4 linked regions of the Yarrowia lipolytica genome follow. The protein of the gene in region 3 purifies or fractionates together with the protein of the main gene of each other region. This does not show direct contact. Links are inferred from orthologs where the notes say so. Each region holds a gene or a part of one and is shown on either strand. Other genes may lie near its edges.

The links.
Region 1: the proteins of YALI1_D23274g (region 3) and YALI1_F05781g purify together in Saccharomyces cerevisiae (affinity purification with mass spectrometry; 3 studies listed by BioGRID). This does not show direct contact. The link is inferred for Yarrowia lipolytica from reciprocal best matches to the Saccharomyces cerevisiae genes RNA14 and PTA1.
Region 2: the proteins of YALI1_D23274g (region 3) and YALI1_E04790g purify together in Saccharomyces cerevisiae (affinity purification with mass spectrometry; 3 studies listed by BioGRID, with this or other methods). This does not show direct contact. The link is inferred for Yarrowia lipolytica from reciprocal best matches to the Saccharomyces cerevisiae genes RNA14 and CFT1.
Region 4: the proteins of YALI1_D23274g (region 3) and YALI1_F35714g purify together in Saccharomyces cerevisiae (affinity purification with mass spectrometry; 3 studies listed by BioGRID, with this or other methods). This does not show direct contact. The link is inferred for Yarrowia lipolytica from reciprocal best matches to the Saccharomyces cerevisiae genes RNA14 and PAP1.

Annotation. Positions count from the first base shown.
Region 1 is NC_090775.1:575,548-581,411, forward strand, and holds YALI1_F05781g (uncharacterized protein), read right to left. Parts: upstream 3,897-5,864; coding exon 3,655-3,896; intron 2,574-3,654; coding exon 545-2,573; downstream 1-544. UniProt on the Saccharomyces cerevisiae protein: Essential in pre-tRNA processing. Component of the cleavage and polyadenylation factor (CPF) complex, which plays a key role in polyadenylation-dependent pre-mRNA 3'-end formation and cooperates with cleavage factors including the CFIA complex and NAB4/CFIB.
Region 2 is NC_090774.1:474,749-480,906, reverse strand, and holds YALI1_E04790g (uncharacterized protein), read left to right. Parts: upstream 1-1,848; coding exon 1,849-5,658; downstream 5,659-6,158. Other genes in the region: YALI1_E04807g (uncharacterized protein), read left to right, coding at 129-578; YALI1_E04795g (uncharacterized protein), read right to left, coding at 642-1,358. UniProt on the Saccharomyces cerevisiae protein: RNA-binding component of the cleavage and polyadenylation factor (CPF) complex, which plays a key role in polyadenylation-dependent pre-mRNA 3'-end formation and cooperates with cleavage factors including the CFIA complex and NAB4/CFIB.
Region 3 is NC_090773.1:2,325,759-2,330,372, forward strand, and holds YALI1_D23274g (uncharacterized protein), read left to right. Parts: upstream 1-1,670; coding exon 1,671-4,091; downstream 4,092-4,614. Other genes in the region: YALI1_D23265g (uncharacterized protein), read right to left, coding at 1-759. UniProt on the Saccharomyces cerevisiae protein: Component of the cleavage factor IA (CFIA) complex, which is involved in the endonucleolytic cleavage during polyadenylation-dependent pre-mRNA 3'-end formation and cooperates with the cleavage factor NAB4/CFIB and the cleavage and polyadenylation factor (CPF) complex.
Region 4 is NC_090775.1:3,569,644-3,573,690, forward strand, and holds YALI1_F35714g (uncharacterized protein), read left to right. Parts: upstream 1-1,794; coding exon 1,795-3,347; intron 3,348-3,397; coding exon 3,398-3,515; downstream 3,516-4,047. Other genes in the region: YALI1_F35690g (uncharacterized protein), read left to right, coding at 1-1,214; YALI1_F35746g (uncharacterized protein), read right to left, coding at 3,678-4,047. UniProt on the Saccharomyces cerevisiae protein: Polymerase component of the cleavage and polyadenylation factor (CPF) complex, which plays a key role in polyadenylation-dependent pre-mRNA 3'-end formation and cooperates with cleavage factors including the CFIA complex and NAB4/CFIB.

The sequences.
Region 1 (5,864 bases), on a different chromosome or scaffold from region 3:
ATCGTTGGCATACTCTTCTCAAGCAGTGCCAATGACGGTATGACCTGAATTGGGGGCATCTGCATCTGCCTTAGGGGCGTATTTGACATTCGGGCTGCTGTTAAGCCAGTCGACCCGGTAACAAGAGTGGCGGGCAACGTGTAGATAGTGGTGGGGTTTTGATTAATGGTTCTTGTTTCTTTCACATCTCCTCTGGCTAAATATTGGTGGAAACCCTCAGGCAGACGGGGCTAAGACGACCTGCTTACACTCGTGACGACCTTGGAGAGGAGAGTTTTCAAAACGGAAACTTGCAGTGGGTTGGCCTAAGCGAGTTGTTTGCAGTAGTATCTATCACCTGGCTCCATCTTGCCAAATCCATATTACAATATGTTTAAAGACCCTACTTGGAGAGAATAATCGTGTGTCGCCGACATATTACCGCTATCTGTCGCTGGAGATCTTCTTTGGATTCATCTGTCTCTTTGTCAGTATTGTTCATAACTCCCCATCTTTCCACTACAGCTCCTCTAATACATTCTACAAGTTCATAACTCTTCATTATCTATTGCTCCTGCTTCACCTGTGCTTTGGGCTCCTCAGAAGCCTCCTCCTTCTTCACCTCCAACATCTTCCTCTCAACTCCTTCAACAACCAACGGTCTATACTTGCCCAGAACCTGCTTGAAACCGCCTCTCAGACTCTCATTCTCCTGGTAAACCTCCTCAATGACATCGAGACAGTAGTCTCGGGTAGGAGGACGCAGCATGATAAGATACTTGAGCGACCGAACACCAATAACCGACCGATCAGGGTCAATCAGAAGATGCTTGAGCTTACTAACCAGGCCGTAATCGAGCTCGGGAAGCTCGCCCACCAGTCTGATGAAATACTTCCAGTTGTCGGGATCAATGGTCTGAACAAGAGTGTCCATGATACGGGAAGCATACTCGTAGTAGACAGACGTGGCTGGAGTAACTTTACCGTACCGGATCAGCTCCGAGTACCATTCTTCGTTGAGCCAGGTCATGACGTCCTCGAAATTCGCTGTAAACGCCGTAGTGGCCATGTTCAACAGCTGGTTTCGAATGTGAGTGGAAAGTTGGACCTTGAGAGAGTCGGCAGGCTCGGTTTCGGGGTCATAAGCAAGACCACGGCTCAACAATCGACTCAAAATCACCATCCACGAACCGCCGGTCCATTCGTTGATAGCCAGCTTGGAAATGGCATTCTTCTGGATATCCAGCGACTTGGCTGTTGCCACCGCTACGTCCTTTTGTGTCAAAAACCGCGACACGATTTCGGTTCCGGCCGTAAGCTTTTCAGACTCTGAAAGGGGCTCGGGGGGTGGCAGTTGGAAAGTGACTGCTGAGTCGGTTTCGGTCTGTGAATAGTCGGAAGAAACTCGGGAGTCGAGCGAGGAATCACGTGAAACAGGAGAGTCGCGTGATTCCATGGAGACGTCGCGGGATCGAGAGCGGGAACCGGTGTTGTGCGACTGAGCCCGTCCGCGAGATCGGGAGTCGTCCCTCTCGTCGTCGTCGTCTTCACGGGACCCGGACCGGTAGTCTCGCGACTCGCTTCGTCTGTTCTGGATATCACGTGACTCAGATCTGGACTTCTTGGCCTCTTCCTTGGCCTTTTCTTGTTGTTGCCAATTGTCCCATCTTTGCTTCACCACTCCAACTCGACTTCTAAGAACCGCTTCGTCTACGCTCAGCAAACCGGTGAGCGCGATTTGAAGCGCCAGTTGCTGGGGTAACGTCCGGGCGTCGAAAGCCACCAACGGGTCGTTGGCAGGAATCAGAGTGAACAGAGCGCTATATGAGTCTGCATTGGGGGGCATGGTGGTGCTCATGGATACAGGAGTAGGTGTAGATGCATTGGTGGTCGGCTCCTCCGTCTTCTGGCGCTTGGTCACGTGATCGTCGACTGGGGCCGGTCGTTTTCGGCCCACCTCGGCCAGAAACCGTTCCATTCTGTGTCGCAGCTGCACGTGGATCTTGTTACGTAAGCAGTGGGTAACCAGCATTTTGAGCGACTTTTCGCAGAAGCGAACGGCGAGTTTGGAAGTGAATTTCGTCTCCATAGCCACCGGGTCCACCGCCAACACCGTTTGCAGAATTCTGTTGCCGTACTCGGGTCTTTGTTTGAGAATGGGGGCCAGAGCAAACACGGTTGCTGTGAAAATGGGTTCTGCGATTTTCTGGTTGTCATGTGACAAGTCGTCACCAGTGAGGTTGCCTAGGAGGCGGTCCAGACTACCCTGGCCCTCGGCCTCGAGTGATCTGTGGATGAGCGGGTGGTTAGGCGGCACCATGCTCATGTTGGCCTCGGCTGACGGCTTTGATCTGGCGGCCAGACGCGGGTCAGCAGGACCTGATTGGCCCCGTGACTGGACGAGCACGAGCTGCTGGGCAAATTTGATGCATGCTATTTCGACCGAGGGTGAAGGGTCGTTGCTCCAGATGGACGTGATCCGCTCTTTGAGGGAGGTCAGAGTGGACCATTCGGAGGAGAGTTTCGGGTTGAGGGAGACCGCGGAGAAGACCAGGGGGTAGATGAGGGCGGAAAGGAGAATAGGGGTTTTGGGCTGGGTTAGTGGGAAACGAAAGCAAAGGCCCGAGGACCGAGGACTAAGCGGACAACAGTAGGACGTAATACAACGAATACCAGAGTTTGAGCGGACAATCGGGAGTTGATGTCTCTAGAATAGTAATGTCTCTGGACAGCACCATATCTCTAGACAACATCAGTCTCGACAGCAACTCCTCTCTAGATAAGACATATGTCTAGAAGACATACATCAATCCTAGACAGCAGTAACAAAAACGGTGCAGTCAGAGGGACAATATCCATAGTTGCTCTGGAGGCAGAAACAACTGAAATAGACAACCAGAGCTACATGTCCAGCCAGAATTGACCAGAATCCACAGGAGTCAAGCAGTAGGAGGCACGCCTGTCCGAAAATTGGAGAGAAACACTGGATCTGTTGGCACTTCTGAAACGCTTCAATTCGCATATATAGCTAATGAAGCATTGTCAGTGATGCAAAGACGGTTCCACTGACTAAGTAGACAGACATTTTCTATAGCGAAAGACTGCGATGCGCTAGGCTAGATCGTCAACCGTCTGTCAGTGGGGAACGCAAAACGGCCAAAAACCTCCCCTGCCACGTCACATGACCTGATGCGTGTCTCTCCGTCTAGTTGCTATGTCATTTTTGTCCCAAACACATGTTCTTGTCCTTGACAGCATTGGGATGGTGGACCCAGAAAGATGCAATCAGTCGATGATGACTCCAGGAGCATACTGGGGGGCCACCAACACGGTCGCCGAAGTTCTACAATAATGGATAAGAGTCACGTGTGGAAAAGTGTGACGTCTGGATCTGTGTCGATACTGGTGTCGTTGAATCAGTCCACGTTGTCGAGAAAACAAACCCCGCAAGCTAAACGTTGAGTCGATCACGCAGTGGGTCGTCTGTCGGATCAACGTCCAACTCAGAGATAGTACAACGCCATAAACTAGACACAACGGCCATTACAGTTGACAATTGCGGTTTGCGTCGTTGTCACAAGAACAGTCATGTGACTTAAAAAATGCTGAGGGCAACCTCAGGCAGGTCAGGGTCACTTGATCTTGTCCAGTCCCTACAGTCACATAGTACTCACCTCTCCATTCAGCAACTTGTCCACCACCGTCAGCGCCTTGAGCGCCAGCTCGCGTCGTTTCTCCAGCGCCAATACCGACGCCAGCGCATCAAGCAGAAAGTCCGCCAGCCACTGTTGCAGCTCCTTCTCGGGACGAGAAGCCAGCTCCAGTAGAGACGGCACATACTGCTCGTATAGCGCGGCGTCCTTGGCGGCCATGTCTGCGACCTGGCCAAGACTCGCCAGCTGTTCTGTTAATGACATGGTGATCGAACACGGTTGACAAACGGTTGCAAAAGGATCGAAAAACGATCGAAAAACGATTGGCAAACGATTGACAAACGATTGGTACAATTACTGTCTTGTGTGTGGTGTCAAAGACAGTGTGCAGTGGGCGGGAGAAAGTTGAGTTGGGACTGGCAAACTTTATCTGGACTGTATTTCATGGGTGTGAGGTGAAACGGGGGGAGGGACCAAGAATGGGATTGGCGAGGAGAGAGATGAAACGGAGAATTGAAGGATGTTTATCATGGGATTTTGAAGGAATGTGATGTTTTGGGCGTCAATTTGGCCAAAATCGAAGACACTCTGGGGAAATAAAGCTGGGTGTTCTACATGAAGATTACAAGAGTTAATTGAAGAGAGCATATTGTACGAACTCTGGATGGTCAGAATGGTCAATACTGGCAGCGTCACTCTGAAGAGCTTTATACACTTGTACTGTATTAGAAATTCCAAGCTGATCTCAATGGTATTTTCAGATTTCTATTAGACCAAAAATTACCACAATTGGAGTGATCAGAGTGCAAGTATAATTTCGACGGTATGTACTCTTTTTATGTTTTATATTTTATATAGGATGTAGTGTACACAGTGTACTTAGACTGAAGAAAATTAAAGCACGAGGACGACTACAAGTAGTTGTAGCATCTTAGAACGAGAATATACAAGAAAAAAGGGAAGTGGAAAAGAAAGATTGTGTTCGAAATGCTTCCCGGAAGCTACCAATACAGTACTCATTAGCGTCTTTGCTTCACTCCCGCCAATAGCTATGTTGGATCGTTGAAGCAGAATGCGACTACAGTATGTAGGGTGGTGTACCAACCAGACAAGATGTACTCGCAGTATGTGGGAATGGTAACGGACAAAAAAGGAGCTGGAAAAAAAACAGAAACTGGACTTTATGGTATCAAAATGATCACAATGAACTCAGGAAACCAACTCCAGAGGTCACGTGAGTTAGAAGGCGAAGACCACACCCAATATTTCTCAGGTCCAGCTGCTGAGCGAAGGAAGTGGGAATACTGTAGCATAGATTCAATCAACTATGATTTATCATAAAACCCGCTATGTATTTTCCCCATAAGTTCCACTTTAAAAAAACACACTCTGTAAGCCCCAAAAATTTCACTTTTTTTCTTTTTTTTTCTTCCCCTTTTTAACGTCATTCTGACGAGCTAAGATCGAACATACACTGCCTGCCAACAAGAGATCAAAGGGTCCTTCCAGTCCACTAAGAAGTGTCCAGAAACAGACCAAATTTTGACAGAACAATAATATATCGCGGATATTAAAATTAATTTCCAATTTTCAGCCAATCAAACGACCCACATTTCGCTAACAGACCCCGCAGACGTAACAATATATACGAGTGTACAGTATATACTGTACTTGTACTTGAGGCATGTACAGTATCAGTTCCAGTAAACACGCCACAGTATGGGAGAAATTATGGGAGCTGATGAAAAGTGCAACACTGACACGAATAGCACAAAAAGGGGAAATACCTCCCTCAGAGAACCAATCTCCACTCACCTCCAATACCCAGCTACCATCTTCAAAAATGCATGTTTTACCCATACCTCCATTTCTGTCCCTGTTCTGGCCACACCAAAAAAGAGAACCTTCCCATCCATTAACTCTGGCATACAATCATCATTTCTGGTATTTTTTAGACCACACACAATCATGTCAATCAATATCCTTCGTGACCGGCCATAATTACTCTAATAACGTGATACCACCCGAAAATCCCACTCAGAGCCCCCCCTGATCTCCCCTGATCTCCCCTGATCCCACCAGATCAATCTCTCTATCCCTAACCCAAGCGCATGTAGTATGCACAAGGTCGCACTCGTCTTCTCTATTTGGCGATGTCAATGGGAAATGGAGAGAGCAGGAAACGGGGGCACAAACAAGTGACATAAACGCATGCACAAACGTATATAAACG
Region 2 (6,158 bases), on a different chromosome or scaffold from region 3:
GCACTCGCACTCAAACGTCTCTGTGGGGTGCATATTCACATGCAGAAATTGGACTACGATACAACTCTAAAGGACTTCAAACATCATCTCCAACTGTGCTCATCTCATCTTCTATCGATTAGCACACCATGTCCTTCATCCTCAATCACCTCAACGAAACTACCCTCAACGTCCAGGGTGACGAGGGTGTCCAGTTCTCCATTGTCGGCGGCCTGGGCACTTTGGCCTCTGCTTACGCCTCGTATCTCATGTGTACCCGGGTGCCTACTTCTAACAAGACTTGGCTTGCTGCCACAGTTGCATCTCTGTTCATCTCAATTGGCAACCAGTACCAGTGTCAGTTCACTCCCGGGTCCCCCGCCAACTCGTCTTACATTGGTCGACTTCCCTGGACCGTTCTGCGAGTAGCCTTCCTGGCAGTGGTCTATGGTCAGCTCAACCTTGGAGGCACCAAGTTTACATGGGCTGCTGGAAATCCTCTGCACATCCCTGTTCTTTTCCTGGCCAGCTATGTGCTCAACGAGGTCGGAAATGTCCTTCGAAAGCCCATTCCCAAGCCTGTCGTGAAAGACGAGTAAATCTTCACCATCTTTATATAATGACAATGCACGACAACGATTCGATTGGTCAGTAGATCTCGATTAAGTCCGTTCACCAGACAAGTCTCCAAAATCAGCTGGAAGCGGTGGCATGATGGGACCATCAGGACCTCTCTCAATGTCCTCAATCTGGTTCCAAAATGACAAGCTGCCTTGATCACGATCAAAGGGAGGTCTGCACCCTGCAGCTTCTACAGCGCGAATGAACTTCTCAACAATTGCTAGTCGCAATATCGGAGGGTACACCTTGTCATGGTACAGAACTGTGTCGGTGAAGTTGGTGTCGAATCGTAACCTCTCGATTTTGTGACAACTGTCTGCCTCAATGAAGTAGTAGAGAAAGGACTGGTCGTAGAGCAAAAGGCTGGCAAGAGTAACTTCGTGGGCCTTGAGATACTCGGCTAGCTGGGGGTAGAACTGCTGATACAGATCCCGCCTCCAGTTGCGAAACACAGTGCCCACAGGCAACCCTATCCACGGAGTTATATCCTCGTAGTACGATACAGAAAATTGTTTGATTGCTGGGAAGTTTTTTCGGTTGAAGAACATCGTTGTGACTGCTGAGTCGAAATGAACATGCTGGATCAGGGGCGCACATGTTAGTAGAGGGGGAACGTAGCCTGCAGAGTAGTAGACGTCTTTCCAGATGTCAGTTGCCAGCAGTTCATAGAGGTGTTTGTTGACACATGTTAATCGAGACAGGTCCTTGAAGTCGAGAAAAGTCGCCACTAGTGTAATCAGTTCGGGTGGGAGTTGCATGATCTAGCAAAGTGTGGCGGTTGATGTTGAACTTGCAAGTATTTACCTCGTTATGCATGTTGGAAAGTGCTTGTAATTAAGAGGCGATAGGTGTGATGCTGGGCCACAGTAGAGATGGATACCCGGCTTGGTAGCTTGCACTAAAACAAGTGACTTTAGTAAATACTGTTCTGTCAAATAGGCCCACTCCACCTCGGTAGCCGTAATACTGCCCGACCCACCCGCTCCATATTTCAACTAATGTAAGTAACACTGTGCGATTCGTAAGGAACATCTGGACACAGGGCTCATCCAGTCACGACTCAATATCCAGAAGTTCTCTTAAATGCCTTTTCGTTTCAAAACTATTGCCCTTACATCACACATCCCCTCAATATTCGTCACACCTCTTTCAACCATCCCGTCCGAACTCCCAAACTTAAGGTTCTGAAAGTCCAAGAAATCATCACGATCTGGAACTACAGGATATACTGTCTCACAGTAGCACGACATGCACATTTTCAAGAATCTGACAGAGCCGACCGCCGTCACTCACAGTCTGTCGTGCAACTTCACCGGCGAGAGGAACCTGGTGCTAGTCAAGGGCTCGCAGCTGCTCCAGATCTTCCGATACAAGGACGACATCCCTACCAAGGATGAAGCTCCTCGACTCGAGCTCATCACCGAATACTACCTCGATGGAACCGTCACGGGCGTGACCCGAATAAAGACAATCGACAACTACGATTTGGATTCGCTCTACATCTCTGTCAAGCATGCCAAGGCCGTGATTGTTGCATGGAATGCTAGCAGTTTCACCATCGACACCAAATCGCTGCATTACTACGAAAAAGGCTTGGTCGAGAGCAACTTCTTCGAGCCCGAGTGCTCGTCTGTTGCTGTATCAGATGAGGCGAACTCGTTCTACACCTGTCTGCTGTTCCAGAATGATCGAATGGCGTTTCTGCCTATTATCGAGAAGGGTCTTGATGACGATGAGATGCCAGAAAGTGGCCAGGTATTTGATCCCTCCTTCATTGTTAAGGCATCGAGGCTCGATAAACGTATCGAGAACGTGATGGATATCTGCTTCCTTCACGAGTACCGAGAAACGACAATGGGTATCCTTTTTCAGCCCAAGAGAGCATGGGTGGGTATGAAGAATATTCTCAAGGACACGGTGAGCTACGCTATCGTCAGTGTCGACGTCCATCAGAAGAACTCCACCGTAATTGGTACCTTGAATGGCCTGCCAGTGGATGCCCAGAAGGTCATTCCTCTGCCTGCTCCTCTTGGTGGCTCACTTATCATCTGCGCCAACACCATTCTCTACATCGACTCCTCGGCTAGTTACACAGGTGTCATGGTCAACAACACACATCGACAAAACTCTGATCTCATCGTATCGAGGGACCAGTCGACTCTTGACCTGCGACTGGAAGGTGCTGAGGTCTGCTTCATCCAGGAGTTGGGCAATACCGCCCTCTTGGTGACAGAAGATGGCCAGTTTTTCAGTCTGCTGTTCAACAAGGATGGTAGACGTGTGGCTAGTCTCGAACTGCGACCTATTGAGCCAGACAACTTCATCCTATCCCAGCCTTCCTCTGTTGCAGCTGGGCCTGATGGAACTATTTTCCTTGGATCTCGAGCTGGAGATTCGCTCTTAGTCAAGTGGTACCATGGTGAGCCAGAAAGTCAGCCCGAGGAGACTCTAGATGACGGAAACGAGTCTGACGATGATCTTTATGGCGGTGACACAGCTCAAACAGAGGACACTACCAATCGTCCATTGAAGCTACGTCTGGCCGACCGCATGCTTGGTATGGGACCCATGCAATCGCTGGCTTTGGGCAAGAATAGAGGCAGTCAAGGTGTTGAGTTTGTCACTACTACAGGTGTCGGTGCAAACTCTGCTCTGGCCATTCTCACAAGCGCACTGATGCCATACAAACGCAAGTCCTTGTATAAGGACATGCCGGGAGGCCAGTTCTGGTCAGTACCCGTGCGTTTTGAGGAGGAAGGGGAGGTTGCCAAATCTCGAACTTATGTTGTCTCGTCTGACAGTGAGAACTCATATCTGTACTATGTTGATGCCGCTGGGGTTATTGAAGACGTTTCTCTCAGTACCAAGAAGAAGAAGACCAAGAAGCATTTTGTTTCGAATGTCACCACAATCTTTTCTTCTTCAATGCTGGATTCGGCGCTCCTCCAGGTCTGTTTGGAAACTGTCAACATTTACGACGCCAAGATCGGACAGCCCCACAAATACTCCCTGCCCCAAGGTACTACAGCCGTGGAGGCTCGTGTACTGGGCAACTACGTGCTTGTGTTGCTGTCTGATGGCCAGGTGAAGATATTGGAGGCCGTGAGCATCAACAAGAGACCATTCTTGAAGGCTGCGCAGGTCTCTATCGAGCCTGCCAGTGAGTCCAAGGCCATCGGTATCTACGCCACTGACTCCTCCCTTACTTTCGGTGCACCAAGCAAGAAACGTACACGCCAGGGATCTCCCGCTCAAGACTCGCGACCTGTTGTTGTTGTGTGCTACGCGGATGGGTCTCTTCTGCTCCAAGGTCTGAATTCCGACGATCGTCTCATTCTAGATGCTTCTGATCTGTCTGGCTTCATCAAAGAGAAGGACGGTCAGCTCTATGATGCCCCTCTTGAACTTGTGGACATCGCATTGAGTCCCCTTGGAGACGATCATATTCTTCGGGACTACCTGGTTCTCCTCACTCCTCAGCAGCTTGTCGTTTATGAGCCTTATCACTACAATGACAAGCTGAGGTTCCGAAAGATCTTCCTTGAGCGAACCCCTACAATCAACTCCGATAGACGACTTACCCAAGTCCCTCTTATTAACGGAAAACACACACTTGGAGTGACTGGTGAAACCGCGTACATCTTAGTCAAGACTTTGCATACTTCTCCGCGACTAATCGAGTTCGGTGAGACTAAGGGCGCAGTTGCTTTCACTTCCTGGGACGGAAAATTTGCTTACTTGACGCAAGCGGGAGAGGTGGCCGAGTGCAGATTCGACCCTAGCTTTTCTCTCGAGACCAATTGGCCCGTGAAGCATGTCCAGCTCTGCGGAGAGACCATTTCCAAAGTCACATATCACGAGACCATGGACGTTTATGTCATTGCTACTCACAAGACAGTTCCCCATGTTGTCCGTGATGAAGACGACGAGGTGATCGAGAGTCTTACACCAGACATCATGCCTGCCACTACCTATCAGGGTGCCATTCGCATCGTCAACCCTTATTCGTGGACTGTCATTGACTCCTATGAGTTCGAGATGCCCGCTGAAGCGGCCCTCTGTTGCGAGTCTGTCAAGTTGTCCATCTCTGATAGAAAGTCACAAAAGCGGGAGGTGGTGGCTGTCGGAACCTCCATTCTTAGAGGTGAGGATCTCGCTGCTCGAGGTGCTCTGTACCTCTTTGATGTCATTGAGATTGTTCCTGAGAAGGAACGACCCGAGACCAATAGACGACTCAAGAAGCTGGTTCAGGACCGTGTCCGTGGGGCCTTCACTGCTGTCTGCGAGGTATCTGGTCGTCTTCTAGCTGTCCAGGGCCAGAAGCTGCTTGTACAGGCTCTTCAGGATGACCTTACCCTCGTTCCTGTTGCTTTCCTCGATATGCAGACTTACGTGGCCGTTGCCAAGAGTCTGAACTCCATGCTTCTGCTCGGTGATGCCACCCGATCTGTCCAGTTTGTCGGGTTCTCCATGGACCCGTACCAGATGATCCCGTTCGCCCGTGACCTGCAGAGGGTGTTGGTTACCACCTGTGACTTTGCTATCGAGGGTGAGAACCTGACATTTGTTGTGGCTGATCTCCAGAAACGACTGCACATCCTCGAGTACGACCCCGATGACCCTCAGTCGTACTCTGGAGCCCGTCTCCTGAGACGTTCTGTATTCTACTCTGGAAAGGTGATCGATTCCTCGGCCATGGTACCCATAAACGAGGATCGATTCATGGTGATTGGTGTGTGCAGTGATGGATCAGTGACTGACGTCGTCCCTTGCCCTGAAGATGCCTACAGACGTCTCTATGCCATCCAGACTCAGATCACCGACAAGGAAGCCCACGTCTGTGGGTTACATCCTAGAGCCTACAGGTACGATCCCATCTTGCCTGGCACTGGAAACAGTCCCCACAGACCTATTCTTGATGGCCACACCTTGATTCGATTTGCTAACCTGCCCCGAAACAAGCAGAACGTGTATGCTAACCGTCTGGGTCAGCGATATCAGCAGTTGATCTGGAAGGACCTTGAGCTCATCTCTGACCTGTTCAAGAAATGTATTTGAGTCTGTCAATGACACAATAATGTATATTTTAATATTAGTGTATTTTTAGATAAGTTGTAGTTACAGTATTGTAGCTACAGTACATACCAGTTGCCAGGCTAAGCAGCTGTCGACAAATAGCACCATCCTAAGTGAGAACAGAACACCCCACTCTTTTCAGTTGTAGAGATATACCAGCGGGCACCATGGACCGTATGTAGACTGTTGGTCATAAGCATACCCAACAACGTAGAACATGCTACAGTACTTCCCCAACGTGGCTTTACACTGCCGAGTTGCCGATCTGGTGGAACAGAGCATCGCCCTCCAGATCTATACTTCGCTGGGTACCCCCGGGAAAGAGAACATTAGAACGTAAGGCAAACAGATAGGAGGCTACTGTATAGTACATACTGTGAAAAACGCATTCCATACAAACAGACCTTATCCCTATTCCCCGTCAAAGCTATCCAATACGTATACTGTATATGATCAAGCTGATTGAAAATCTGCGATAAGCT
Region 3 (4,614 bases):
AGCACAGTCAGGCAGCGCAGGCAGCATTTGAAGCTGCAGATGAGCACACAGAAACACATCTGACGTGGAAACCGTGCTGAACAGACTTCCTTTGGCGACATTTGCTGTGGCAGTATCCATCATGTCGGTGTAAATTTCTGTGGCCGAGTTGAGCAGTCGGAAAACCGTCTTGGAAACGGCCTTGGAGGCGTCTTTCTGCTTTTCACGCTCAACAGACTGATCGTAGAGCTTACCCATGCTGGGCTTGGGGTTGGTGAGAGACTCGGACGCCATCTTGGTTGCCGAAACAGCCCACGAGGGCGTCGCCGTGTCGATTCCAGCGGCACAGCATCGGTCCTTGGCCTGTTCTCGAAGTCGTACACTGACATTGTATTGCATTAGGAAAGGCATGAACTCGTTGAACATGGGCCGGGTCACCTTCTGGTACGCCTCTTCGTCCACAAACAGACAGTACTCTGTGATTGTCTGCAGACTGCTCATGTAGGCCAGGAGAGCTGTGTTTTTGATTTGTTCGTCCGAGGTCAGATCGGCGTCGAGGTTGTGTCCCAGCGACTTGAGGTATCGAATGATGGACTCGGCGCCTCCGATCTTTTTCTCCGACGTCTCCAGACACGGCAGCTCGCCCGCCAGACCTTCATTGGACGACTGCACTACCGTGAAGTCGATATCACATAGCTGCATGTACCAGATGGTGGCGAGACAGGGGGCGGAAAAGGTCAGGGAGGTGGACACGGGGCCCCAGACGTGCAGACGGAACATGATTTTCGGGGAGAGAATGAGAATGCGGTTGTAGACTGTTCTTTCTAAGAGGTTATGAGCATATCACCCAGTTTGTGAGTACAGTACACTCGGTTTGTGAGTGTGTAGGCGCGTTTGTGTTGGATGAAGAGGTGAATCAATAACGAGGGAGCTGTTCCGACGATGGTCAGCTGGTTGTATCTGTGTCTATCGCTGGTCTGTCGACTCCGTCAAGACTACAGCATGTACTACTTTTCATATATCGTAGGAGGTGGGTGGGTGGATGCGTGTGTTCGATTCGGGGTGGGGCAGAATAATGAAATTAATAAATATCTTCGGAAGAACGGATAAGTGGGACGTGGTGGCAAGGGTTTGTGCATAAAGTAGTGTTTTAGAAGACTGGTTGGTCGCTTCTAGTGCAATGGAGACCGTGACTGGGGAGATGCGGGGGGCGGGCTCCCCATGGAGGGCAGTGGAGATGGTACTTGTTCAAATATGCGATTTAACTGGTTGAAATGACACTTATTAAAACCATTTTTTTCTCATACGCATAGGCAGCTCTCATAAATGGAGGGGATGCTTTTTCACCTTCCAGCACTCACCGAAAGTCCCCGATCGAAGGGGTTCTGGAGTCGCAGCTATTACTTGGGAGTTTCAACTAACTTTGGGGGGTTTGTTAGGTGTTTACAAGGGATAGCAACGTTCCAGAGACTCGATCCAACTCGGTCTATAGTTATCCGATTGATTAGCTGAAAGTGCCAGTTGTATTCTAATAGCCCCAAAAACAGAATCCATGGCCCCTAATCAGCCTTATACCACCAGCAAACGCTCGTTAATGCCACCTCCCATTTTTCACCGCCGCCACACACAACCACCAACCTAAATCCGCATACACTACTTGCAGCACTTTTCAGACCCTGTCACTCCTCAACATGTCTGACGATTACGATCCTACGGCCGTGGCGTTCAAGCCGGGCGACATGGAGACGGATATGAACACTGGCGAGCCGCTGGCGCTCGAGGCCGAGGCTGCTGCCAAGGACCCGGCACATAATGAAGAAAGTGGTGAAGATACAAACGCAAACGTCGAGTCGGGGACCCTGGTGCACCAGGGCGACGAACCTGAATCGATTGACAAGGAGGACAAGGTGGAGGATGGACCAGACACAAAGAGCGATGGAGGAGTGTTAGACGAGCCCAAGGATGGGGAGCAGAGGGATGATGAGAAAAGGGAAGAACCCAAGCCTGAGAACTCGTCTGAAGAAGTCGCGGAAGATGACGACTATGTGCCTGCAGCGGTGAGTGAGCCTGTGGAGGAGGACTCGGCTGGAGGAGGGTCGGTTGGAGGAACCGGAATCCCTGATGGAGCTATCAGTTCTTTGGCTGCAAGCACTACCATCCCCCCTCCCAGCGACCCCAACCAAGTGGGAGGAGGAGCCAGCTCCACCAGCAACAACAACAACAGCGGCCCAGATAACAACAAGCGAAAACGACTGGCCACAGACACAATCGGCATTCTTGAGGACCGCATCGCCGCCAACCCCCGAGACATGCCTGCGTGGCTGGATCTGATTTCGACGATTGTGCGCAAGGAGAAGCTGGACGAGTCGCGGGACATTTACGAGCGGTTTCTGGCTCTGTACCCGCTGTCGGCCGAGATTTGGATCGAGTACATCACGCTGGAAATGGACAATGGCGAGTTCAAGCGCCTGGAGCAGCTGTTTGGGCGGTGTCTGACCCGCCTGCCCAACCTCAAGCTGTGGAACATCTACCTGACTTATGTGCGGCGAGTCAACGTGCTGTCTTCCGAGTCGGACAAAATCACTGAAGCCCGAACAAACATCATCAAGGCCTTTGAGTTTTACCTTGACCATGTCGGCATTGATCGAGAGAGTGGCAATGTGTGGTTTGAGTACCTGGACTTCATCAAATCCAAGCCGGCTACAACTACCTGGGAGGAGCAGCAGAAGAATGACCTCACGCGCAAAATATACCGAAAGGCGATTGGCATCCCGCTCAACAACCTGTCGATTCTGTGGACCGCCTACACCAACTTTGAGTACTCGCTCAACAAGGCCACAGCTCGAAAGTTCATCAATGAAAAGTCTGGCAGCTGCCAAAACGCCCGACAGTGCCAGACGGTGCTGGAGAACCTGATGCGGGGTCTGGACCGAAGCAGTGTGCCCAAGTCCGGGCCCAGAGACGAGTTCCAGGTGCGAGCTTGGAAGAAATGGATCGACTGGGAGAAGAGCAACCCTCTGGGTACCGACAACAAGGCCGAAACCAACAAGCGGCTGCTGTACTGCCTCAAACAGGCCGTTATGAGCTTGCAGTTTGTGCCCGAGATTTGGTTTCTGGCTGCTGAGTACTGTTTTGACGACCCTCTGCTCAAGACCGAGGCTCTGCAGTTTCTCAAGGATGGCCTCTCTCTCAACCCCAACTCATCGCTGCTGGCTTTCCGGCTCGCCGAGTACTACGAGCGGGAAGCCGATGCTGAAAAGATGCGAACCATTTACGATGAGCATATTGAGTCTCTGGGCAAGGAGAGACAGGCTCTAATTGAAGCTCAGGGCGATCCGGAGGCCGAGCCTACTGCTGAGATCATCAAGCTCAACACCCAGATCTCCATTGCGTACTCGGTGTGCATGAAGGCCGTGAAACGGTTTGAGGGTATCAAGCCAGGCCGAATGGTGTTCAAAAAGGCCAGAAACACTGGGTTTGCCACCTACCACATTTACGTCGCGTCTGCGCTGATGGAGTTTCACCACAACAAGAACCCCACGGTTGCCACCAACGTGTTTGAGCTTGGTCTCAAGTACTGCGGTTCCAATGCAGCCTACGTTCAGCATTATCTCGACTTTCTCATTTCTCTGCACGACGACACCAACGCACGGGCTCTGTTTGAGAAAACCATTCCTCTTCTAGGTCCGTCGGACGCTGCTTCGCTCATCAAGTCGATGATCAAGTTTGAGTCTGACTTTGGCGAGATCACCAGTGTGGTCAAGCTGCAGGACCGTCTGCGGCAGCTCAACCCCGACACGTCGCCCATCACCATCATTGCCGACCGGTTCGCTACCTCGGACTTTGATGTCATTCGACAATGCGACATGCTGCAAAAGCCCAAGTCGCGAACCGACGAAGATTCTGACTCGGAGCGGCCCAGCAAGAGAGCTCGCCGAACCTCTCACGGAAACGACCAGGGCGACAAGATGGAACCTTTCAACCTGCCTCAGAAGATTGATGCTTTGCTAAGGCAGCTTCCCAACTCTTCTGACTATGGAGAGGCTACGTTTGATCCTCAGCGGCTGGTGGATTTGTTTAGGGACGTGAGAATTCCGGACGGACTTCTTTAGCGGGTGGATGCTGGTGAGCACAAGGACCCACAAAGAGCAAAAGGAGGGGGACTGAAGAACTCGAGTCTTGTGCTTCAGCAAACAATGTCTGGATTGTTATATGGTTGTATGAGGGAGCGAGGGGTAGGCATATAATTGTCAATGTATTGTAGAGTAAGTACCATATTGATGGATAACAGTAGTTTAATGTGGCATCAATTGCAACTAAGACAATAGTCCTCAGTCAGCATCGCCACATTTCTCCTTAAAGCAATCTACCACGCCATCCCGTAAGACAGCGAAGACTTTGTAAGACACACGAACCGCGGCCGGTGAAGGTTGCTGCTGTGAGTGTTTAACACGCGCTCTTTAGCCCTTCAGGGTGTAAAAGAAGCCGTCTCTTTTGGAGTCAGTTTTGGCCGTGATCCAAAAGAGAGTGTAAATGTGTGTCTTTTCGGCACAAGAGCCGTCTCCGACGTTTAGCGGAGCTATCGACGCACCGGGCGGCGTTTCCAGTCGCTATCTCATGCATCGCTTCATTTCC
Region 4 (4,047 bases), on a different chromosome or scaffold from region 3:
TTGGAGGAGCCATTGGGCCGTTGATTGGAGGAGCTCTAACCCAAAATGTCAGTTGGCGGTGGTGTTTCTACCTGAACCTACCTATTGCCGGCTTCACCATGTGCATGCTATTCCTTCTACTGAAGAACAACAAGGGTTTGGAGTACGAGAATGATACTCGAACTGTGTGGCAGAAGCTCTTAAAGATTGACTTCTGTGGTATCATTCTTGTTGCTGGAGCCACTGTTTTACTTCTTCTGGCCCTTGATTGGGGAGGAACTACCCACCCTTGGGGGTCAGGCATCATTATCGCCTTTCTGGTGGTTGCCTTCGTGCTCTACGGCATCTTTCTTACTCTGGAGTGGTTTCAGGACCAACGGGAAAACTACCCTCGACCAATCATGCCTCCCAGCTTGTTTGCCAACAAGACCCGACTTGGAGGCTACCTCTTTACCTTCTTCCACTCCATTGTTTTCATGTGCATTTCTTACTTCATGCCCTTCATGTACCAGTCCGTCTACGGCAAGAGCCCCATGGGTTCGGCAGTCTACTTGCTTCCACAGGCCTTTGTCACCGGTGGACTATCTGCTGGAGCAGGTATCTTCATTGCAAAAACGGGCCATTATCTGCCTGTCATGTGGATCTCCAGTGTTATTATCATCGTCTTTACTGGAATGCTGAGCACTCTGGACGAGACCTCCAACGTTGGCAAGCGAATCTGTTACGTAATGGCTTGGGGTGCTGGTATTGGACCTGTTTTCCAGGCACCTCTAGTGGTCATTCACACCCAGGTTGAACGTAAGAACATTGCCATTAGTACCACAACCTGGAGTTTTGTGCGTATGCTGGGCATGTCCATTGGTATTTCCATTGGAGGTGTGGTGTTCCAGAACCAGATGGAGGACCAGATCAGTGACCCGGCCATCATCCGGCAGCTTCCCGAGTGGCTCCTGGAACCTCTGTCGGGAACCAATGCTGCTGCTGCTACCCAGATGCTCAACAATAAAGGGTCAGATATCAGTGCCCATGTGCTCAGTCTGGTGCGATACATGTACTCGCATGCATTCAAGTACGTCTTTTACACCTGTCTGGGTCTCTGTGGAGGTTTGTTGAGTGTGTTGTTGATTGGTAAGCACCAGGTCAAGATGAGAGGCGATCTGGGCAAGAAGGAAAAGCAGGAAAAGAGAGAAGCCGAGAACCGGGCGCTGTCAGAACAGCCGGGAGAATCAGTTTAAAATTAATGAATAATGACTAATGACTATAAAACGGAATATATCTGTACGGGTACTTAGGTGAATAATCAGATATGGCGAGGCATGCACTGCTGCTACTTACAGTACACTATGTACAGGGGTCTGTGAAAGCAGAATATATAAAGAAGGATTTTTGAACGAAATAGGCAACATCATGTTAAAGTAGCTACCGTACTACTTGTACTACACAATTAGGAATGTCTCAATATGAGCCATTTTAACCAATGTCTACTTGTTCACACGTTGATGAATCTAATTGAACACAGTAAGGATCATGACCAGCATAGAAGACCCAGCATGAGACACAGACGCGATTAGCACACATAATGCAAAGGGGAGCGTCCGACCAGTTACAAATCAATTTTAATATTATAGTACAACATACGAATTTTTGCTCTAGACACTGTTTGATGCTACATGCCCTTCTGAGGACCCACTTTGACTCGCTGCTTATGTAACTTCCCAACACTAAACAAACTTCGTCCATGGCGTTTTTGATCAACTAAGCGTATACTCACGACATACTGCCAAATCCCACACACCCACACACTACAGACACGCTATGGTGGAACAATACGGAATCACGGAGCCGATTTCCACGGCGCCCCCGACGCCCGAGGAGATTGCGCTCAACGGTGAGCTCATTGAGGAGCTTAAGCGACAAGGATCATTCGAGAGCGAGGCCGAGTCCAACAAACGGAAAAAAGTGCTGTTGATCATGCAGCAGTTGGCCCAGGAGTACGTGCGACAAGTGAGTCTCAAGAAGAACTTTTCGGATGGCATGGCCCGTGATGCCGGAGGCAAAATCTTCACGTTTGGATCTTACTCTCTGGGAGTCCATGGTCCGGGATCTGATATCGATACGCTGATTGTGGTCCCCAAACATGTGACTCGAGAAGACTTCTTTGAGGTGTTCGAACGTCTTCTCCGAGAACGGCCCGAGTTGGAGGAGATCTCTGCCGTACCCGACGCCTTTGTTCCCATCATCAAGGTCAAGTTCATGGGTATCTCCATCGATTTGATTTCGGCCCGTCTCGACATCCCCAAAGTGCCACTAGACCTGACGTTGGAAGACGACAACCTGCTGCGAAACGTGGACGACAAGGATCTGCGAGCTCTCAACGGTACGCGAGTGACCGACGACATTCTCCGTCTGGTTCCCAACAAGACGGTGTTCAAGCATGCCCTACGAGTTATCAAAATCTGGGCACAAAACCGAGCGGTATACGGAAACATCATGGGTTTCCCTGGAGGAGTACAGTGGGGAATTCTGGTGGCCCGAGTGTGTCAATTATATCCCAACGCCGTGGCTGCAGTGATTTTGTCGCGATTCTTCAACGTGCTTTTAAGATGGAGATGGCCCCAGCCAGTACTCCTCAAGAAGATTGAGGATGGCCCATTACAGGCGCGAGTGTGGAACCCCCGAATCTACTCGCAGGACAAATTGCACAGGATGCCCATCATCACACCTGCCTACCCTTCCATGTGCGCCACCCACAATATCACCGCCAGTACACAAAAGGTCATTTTGCGAGAACTTGAGAGAGGAGGCCAGATTCTCAACGAAATTATGCTGGGCCAGAAGCCGTGGTCGGCACTGTTTGAAAAGCACCATTTCTTCTCGGACTACAAATACTATTTATCGATTGTGGCGGCTAGCAAGGGCACGGCGGAACAGCAGCTCAAGTGGAGCGGTTTTGTCGAATCCAAATTACGACATCTTGTGCAGAAGCTCGAACTGCTGGACTCTATCGAGCTGGCCCATCCTTACGTGAAAACGTTCGACAAAGAGCATTTGTGCAACAGTGATGAAGAGGCTCTCAAGGTGGCAGACGGCCAGAACGTGGCAGCAGTGACTCTGTCGACTGACTTGGAGAAGGCTGTGGCCGACGAGGTTGGCGATGAGAAGTCAAAGGACGAGGCTGATCGAAAAGACAAGATCATTGTGTACACTACCACATTTTACATAGGCTTGGACATCAAGCTGGAGACCAAAGAAGGAGGCAAACGAAGATTGGACATCCTGGCACCCTGTCAAGAATTTTATAGAACTTGTCGAAGCTTCACCGACTACAACGAAGATATGCACAGCATCTTCATTGATTCTGTCAAAGCGTGAGTATACCACTAACCCCAAAACAGCTACCAAAACCCAACTAACACAGATACGATCTCCCTGAAGACGTGTTCAGACCTGACGAGACGCGACCAGAGAAACCTAGAAAGAAGAGAAAGAGAAAGGAGGCCCCCAAGGAGGGAGTCAAACCTGTTCCTGCGGAGTAGGCGTATTATACATATCCATAGGGTCAAAATACATTATAACGACAGCAGTAGAAATGAAAAACAACTATATAAAAGAATAAATTGATCGTGTTACATTTCAGTTGTGAGTGGTATTAACGGTTAATATACATTTAATACATTTTATACAGTTTATAGGTGAATCTACTTCTTTCGCTTAGCATCACCAGAGGGAGCGTCAGAAGCCCGCTTTTTTGTGAGAATGTCGTCAGTAACGTATGTGGTAGTCTCGGGTAGTCGCTTGACAATGTTATCAAGGATTTCCAGCTCTCCTTCAAGCACGATTGACGCCATCTTGTGCTTGTGGGTCTTGTCAGACTTCTCACCGTAGGTCTTTTTCTTGGACTCGACGAGTTCCGTCAGGGACTTGACAGCATCGTCGATGAGGAGACCCTGGTTGGACTTCTTCCACAACTGCTTGACGACCTGCTTTCGCAGGGACTTGTCCTGCTTGAGCTTGGACAACAGAGAGGTGTCCTTGGTGATGAGCTCGAGGAAGGAAATAAAGCACGCG